Danio rerio: one gene and its partner. The protein of the gene in region 1 binds, or shares a complex with, the protein of each later gene. Links are inferred from orthologs where the notes say so. Each region holds a gene or a part of one and is shown in the gene's direction. Other genes may lie near its edges.

Region 1 (3,268 bases):
GGTTTTTCATCAAGTACCACCTCAGAAAACAATTGTCTCTCCAAGTACCACCAAAATGAGCAGCATTGAAATACAGTAGCGCAGTAGGTACAGTAAAGCAGCTACAACTCTGCACAGTTAAAAAACGTGGCAGATTACCTCAGAAATATAGGCTATATGTCATACATGGCATAATATATACATCATTTTTGATCAATTTTGTAATGTGTGTAGCATGTACATGACATATTTCATTCCTCCGCGTACCACTAGAAGAAAGCCTGCGTACCACACGTACCACAGTTTGAGAACCACTGTTCTAAAATTATTATTGATTTGATTGATTAATTGTTGATTATTATTGATTATTAATTTAAATAATAATGATTCTGTTCATCACGTACACGTAAACAAAATGTTAAATTGTTAAATACTTATTACAATTTTAAATAACTGCTTTCTTACTGTATGTAGTTTCAAATGAAATTATTACCCCATTCATTATTGCATTTATTACTATTACCATTAATAATAATAATTAGGGGTGTAACGATACACTCAGCTCACGATACGATGTGTATCACAATATAATGTTCACGATTCGATATGTATCACGATATAATGTTCACGATTCGATATGTATCACGATATTTGGAATAAAAATTGAAAATTAAACTGAAATGCAAATTTTACCAAGTAAACTATTTTTATGTATTTCTTTTGTTTCAACTTGTTAAACTGAACCTTCTTTAAGAAAATAAATGAAACAGGCCTGTCTCTGGAAAATAAAACAATTAAAAAACTTCTTAAAAAATATTATTGAAATGACAGAGACAAAATTAAGGAACAATTTAAGTAAAGGTGCAAAAAAAATAAGCTTTCTATTCAATTGAATTTAACAGTAAGAGCTTAAGGCTTTACTTGGTCACTTTCGTTTTTTGTGTGTGCAATGAAAATCCACATTTCCAGGTATTAATTCATATTTAATTAAATTCATTTAGAGATATCTCTAATTACAATTGTGACTAATCAAAACTCATTTAGAGATATCTGAAAATATTTTTCAATGGAGGAATATGACTAGTCATAATATATTTGCAGATATCTCCAATCTGATTTCGTACTAGTACAATTGTAATTGCAGATATCTCTAATTGTCATTCTGACTAGTCGAATTATAATTATGACTAGTCAAAATATAATTAGAGATATCTCTAAATATATTTATGGATAGTCAGAACAAAGGTTTAAATGCTAAAACTGCTTGCCATACGCGCGCGTCTATCAGTCCGCCCTCTGTAGTAACTCACGGTCAGCTCACGTCATGTGTGATTTTGCGGCGGGAACATTATATGAAGACAGAATGATATTTTAGGGTGAATTGTACCTTATAAATACAGTATGTGACTCTTTCAACACCATTAGGAGGTATCCCTGTCGCTGTGCAAAGTATGTAAATCACTGTGAAGACTTTAAAACTTAGGATGTTTGACCCAGTATGCGTGTCAAAAAGCGGACGAGTCTAAAGCAATGACTGTACAACCGAAATGTTGCCAGACGTCTGATTTTGAGAGGATGGGCCATCCTCTATTTCAACTCCACTCATCTTGGTCTGCTAACATTACTGCTGCTGCAATCTGAACTCACGTGCGACAGCAGGTGGAACGTAGCTCACGTGCAAACAGCTCAACTAATAAGAGAAAACGGACGTCATATCGTAATCTAATCGTCATAACGCCACCATGCATATCGAGACATTTTTGCATCGCAATAAATCGTACAACGATAAATCGTTACACCCCTAATAATAATAATAATAATAATATTATAATAATAACAGTAATAATGATTAATATCAGAGTGACTTGTGAAGGATCATGTGACTCTGAAGACTAGCTAAAAAATCATCATTAAATCACTGGAATATATGATTAAATTAAATGATAAACCACTGTTGAGCACTTCTTTATTTTATTATGCAATAACATTTCACTATTTTACCATCTGTTCTGTATTATTGATTAAATAAATGCCAAACTTTAGACCAGTAGTGTATGTGTGTGTGTGCATATGTATATGTGTGCATATGTGTGCATGTATATGAGTATGTGTGTGTGCGCGTGTCTGAATATTGTTGTGCTTGTGTGTCCTGCAGAACCGTCTGGTGCGTCTGGTCTGTGTGTTCCTGCAGTCTCTGATCCGCAATAAGATCATCAACGTTCAGGATCTGTTCATCGAGGTTCAGGCCTTCTGCATCGAGTTCAGCCGCATCCGTGAGGCCGCAGGGCTGTTCCGGCTCCTCAAGACACTCGACAACGGAGAGACGCCGGCCGAGGGCAAGACCAGCAAATGATGGAGCGCTTCCTGAACACACACACCGCTGAACTGATCTGCTTTATGCTTTTTATTTATGTGCAGGAGTCGTGCAGAAACAGCCTGACTGTGCTAAATCTCCATGAAGACGAGCATTCACTGATGACTGAGGTATGATGATGACGACTCCTGTAGTCATGGCTCATCACTGACTCAGCGTTTTCATATTCGCTCAACCAAAACTCTGCAGATTCAGTATTTGGGAATATGGCTTTCAGTAACTCTGAGAGTGTCTGAGCTGAATCCTTTATTAACGGCGCTCAGTAACTCCATTTCATTTGTGTATATTTTCTCAATAAACAACGTTTCAAAGCAGCTCTTCAGAACATCTCTGAGAATGATTGGTGGAATTTCAGCCACATTTACAGGATATACATTATTTATTTTATATATATATATATATTTGTGGTGTAACGGATCACGTATCTCATGGTAGGGCTGCTCGATTTTGAAAAAAATCATAATCACGATTATTTTAAACGATTATCAGTTGAAGTGAAAATTATTAGCGCTCCTGGGAATTTAGTTTTTTTAAATAACTATTTCCCAAATTATGTTAAACAGAGCAAGGAATTTTAACAGTATTTCCTCTAATATTTTTTTTCTTATGGAGAAAGGCTTATTTTTTTATTTTAGCTTGAAAAAAAGCAGGTTTAAATATTTTGAAACCCATTTTAAGGTCAATATTATTAGCCCCCTTAAGCAATATATGTTTGATTGTCTGCAGAAGAATCTACTGTTATACAATGACTTGTCTCATTACTCTGATTAAGCCTTTGAACTGCACTTTAATCTGAATGCTTGTATTCTAAAAAACATCTAGTAAAATGTTATGCACTGTCATCACAGCAAAGATAAAACAAATCAGTAATTAGACATGAGATATCAAAACTATTGTGTTTAGAAATAAGTAAAA
Region 2 (3,665 bases), on another chromosome or scaffold:
ATAAGGTAGTGGGTTTCGCAAGTCACTGGAATTGCTATTTTGGGGGTCGCCGGCTGAAATGTTTGGGAACCCCTGGCTTAATCGAACAACTCAGTGAACCTTTACTTGCTGCCACCTGCTGGTGATTTTACTATCATATGTATTTGTCATTATACAGCATTATACTATTTAATTACTATTATATTATATATATATATATATATATATATATATATATATATATATATATATATATATATATATATATATATATATATATATATATATATATATATGGATGGATGGATGGATGGATGGATGGATGGATGGATGGATGGATGGATGGATGGATGGATAGATAGATAGATAGATAGATAGATAGATAGATAGATAGATAGATAGATAGATAGATAGATAGATAGATAGACAGCTGTAGATGCTACTGCTCTTTGTAAATGACAATACATCATGAAGGCTAAACTTTGGTTCTAATATTATTGCTAACAAACTAAATCTATGAAAAAAATGCAAACAATTTTAATATATTTTTAGATAAACATTTATTAAAATAAAAAAATTACAAAAGTTTTCATTAAAGGAGTTTTAAATTTTTATTTATTTGATTCTATCATGTATTTTTAAACTGAATATCACATATTTAAAACAATTCTTCAAAAAATACCATACTATAATAAATCATAATCAACAAAAATATTTACTTATGCATATACACTTAAAATATAATTCAAAGGGGAGTGGGATGAAGCACAAGCTTATTAAAAATAAAACTAAATAACTTGAATAAAAAATCTAAAAGCAATTTTTTTTTCTTATATTAGCCTCAAAGGCTTCTTAATAAAGATTAATATTTTGAAAAATCCCCAGCAAAGCCCCTTTTTGTATTTAACTATAACCTCGACTATAAATATGCAAATCCCCATGACAACCATCATGCGTTTTGTTGCATCTGTAGGACACAGAGTTTCCAGGTGTAGTAGCGAGACCAATCGGAGAATTTCGAAGCAATGCAGATTACCAGTACCAGCTGCTGCGGTGTAACGTGGACTTGTTAAAGATCATCCAGCTTGGCCTTACATTTATGAACGAACAGGGCGAATACCCACCAGGGACATCGACATGGCAGTTCAACTTTAAATTTAACCTCACGTAAGAATTGCACTTTGTATAACGCTCTTTTTTTTTTTTTTTATCAGAGCATCGTGTTTTAAAGAGAGATGACAAGGATGACTTTCCTTGTCTTCAGGTGTATCTGTGTGATACCTTCTGATAGCTGGCCTGTGTTTTTCAGGGAAGACATGTATGCACAGGACTCCATAGAGCTGCTCACGTCGTCGGGTATCCAGTTTAAGAAGCATGAGGAGGAGGGTATTGAGACAATGTATTTTGCTGAGCTGCTCATGACCTCAGGTGTGGTGCTTTGTGAAGGGGTCAAATGGCTCTCATTCCATAGGTAATCTCACTGTAACATTTACATACAGAAATCTAGGCCTGTGCAGTATGATGATATATACAGTTGAAGTCAGAATTATTAGCCCTGCTTTCTTATTATCCCTCCCTGTATATTTTCTTCTACAATTTCTATTTAACATAGAGTTTTTCTTTCAAAGCATAATAGTTTTAACAGGCGAGGCAGTGGCTCAGTAGGTAGTGCTGTCGCCTCACAGCAAGAAGGTCGCTGGGTCGCTGGTTCGAACCTCGGCTCGGTTGGCGTTTCTGTGTGGAGTTTGCATGTTCTCCCTGCCTTCGTGTGGGTTTCCTCCAGGTGCTCCGGTTTCCCCCACAGTCCAAAGACATGCGGTACAGGTGAATTGGTTAGGCTAAATTGTCCGTAGTGTATGAGTGTGTGTGTGAATGTGTGTGTGGGTGTTTTCCAGAGATGGGTTGCGGCTGGAAAGGCATCCGCTGCGTAAAAAAAAATTTGCCGGATAAGTGGGCGGTTCATTCCGCTGTGGCGACCCCGGATTAATAAAGTGACTAAGGGACGTCAAGAAAATGAATGAATGAATAGTTTTAACAGTGTATTTCTAACAGCTGATTTATTTTATCTTTGCCATGATAACAGTACTTAATATTCTACTAGATATTTATTAAGACACTACCATCCAGCTTAAAGTGCAATTTAAATGCTTATTAAAGGTTATTTCGTGAGTTAGGGTAATCATTGTATAACAGTGATTTGTTCTGTAGACTGTCAAAAAAAAAATTCTTAAGGGGGCTTATAATAATATTGACTTTAAAATGGATTTTTAAAAATCAGCTGCTTTGAAATAAAACAAATAAGACTTTTTCTAGAAGAAAATAATATTATAGGAAATACTGTGAAATATTCCGTGCTCTGTTAAACATCATTTGGGAAATATTTGACAAAGAAAAATAATTAACAGGGGGCTAATAATTTTGATTTCAACTGTATATAAACTACCTGGCAAAAGTCATGTCGCTTATCCAAGTTTTAGGAAAAACAAATAATAACTTGATTTCTAGTAGTTCAAGTGGCTTAAATGAAAGGCAAAGGCCTCTAGATTACGCTCATTTTACCAAAATAAAATACGATCACCCCTAACTTTTAATTATTTAATTAGGACAGTAAGGTCTGACTTTGCTTAGACAAAACTTACAGAAATATTGTACAGTATAGAATATAAAGTCATGGTGCAGTGGAAAAGAATTAATATTGTGTATGACTCCCATGAGCTTAGAGGACTTCATCCACACATCTCTGCAATGACTCAAATAACTTAAGAAAGTCATCTGAAATCGCAAAGAAAGCGTTCTTGCAGGACTCAGGTTTATCAAGATTCTTTGGATTTATCTTCAATGCCTTCTCCTTCATCTTACCCCAGACATGCTCAATAATGTTCATGTCTGGTGACTGGGCTGGCCAATCCTGGAGCACCTTGACCGTCTTTGCTTTCAGGAACTTTGATGTGGAGGCTGAAGTATGAGAAGGAGTGATCCTGCTGAAGAATTGTAAAGCAATGGGCAGCACAAATGTCTTGATACCTCAGGCTGTTGATGTTGCCATCCACTCTGCAGATCTCTCGCACACCCACATACTGAATGTAACCCCAAACCGTAATTTTTTCTTCACCAAACTTTACTGATACCTGTGAGAATCTGGACTATATTCAGGTTCCAATAAGTCTTCTGTAGTATATGTGAAGATCGAGATGCTGTTCAACAGATAATTCATCGGAAAAATCTACCTTCTGCCACTTTTACAAATGATCAACTAGAAATTGCTCTAGTTGCTCTTACAACTGGAATCAACGACAAGACTTTTGTCAGGTAGTGTATATGTGGACAAAATAAAAAGTATATAGTTTCATATTATGCTCTACTGTTTATTTTGTGATGTCAAAAAATACATTGCTTTTAGTAATTTTTTTTATAGTTGATATGAGTGCAATAATACACACCATTACGGGATTGGACACGGACACATGACTAGCAGCATGAGAAAGGTGTAATCTTGAAAGTGCAATGTTTACATTTTGCATTTTATTTTACGATTAAGCATTTTTGAAAATTGGTTCATATTTTGTTCAGATTTATTTACAATTTCTGGAATTAAACATTTGTCCCGATGTTCTAAGTAAATTGAGAAATATGATCACACATGAATGAGTACTTTTCTGATTATGTACTTTAAATTTTAAAAAAGT

Evidence for each region. Proteins that work in one complex are often made in the same cells at the same time.
Region 2: cnot11 (region 1) and cnot7 share a complex: the UniProt entries of both Homo sapiens proteins name them as parts of the CCR4-NOT complex. The link is inferred for Danio rerio from reciprocal best matches to the Homo sapiens genes CNOT11 and CNOT7.

The regions. Positions count from the first base shown.
Region 1 is NC_133184.1:58,597,320-58,600,587, forward strand, and holds the end of cnot11 (CCR4-NOT transcription complex subunit 11), read left to right. Parts: intron 1-282; coding exon of another isoform or gene 283-327; exon of another isoform or gene 328-1,781; intron 1,782-2,134; coding exon 2,135-2,332; 3' UTR 2,333-2,667; downstream 2,668-3,268. UniProt on the Homo sapiens protein: Component of the CCR4-NOT complex which is one of the major cellular mRNA deadenylases and is linked to various cellular processes including bulk mRNA degradation, miRNA-mediated repression, translational repression during translational initiation and general transcription regulation.
Region 2 is NC_133189.1:34,922,539-34,926,203, forward strand, and holds part of cnot7 (CCR4-NOT transcription complex subunit 7), read left to right. Parts: intron 1-952; coding exon 953-1,146; intron 1,147-1,243; coding exon of another isoform or gene 1,244-1,288; coding exon 1,289-1,450; intron 1,451-3,665. UniProt on the Homo sapiens protein: Has 3'-5' poly(A) exoribonuclease activity for synthetic poly(A) RNA substrate. Its function seems to be partially redundant with that of CNOT8.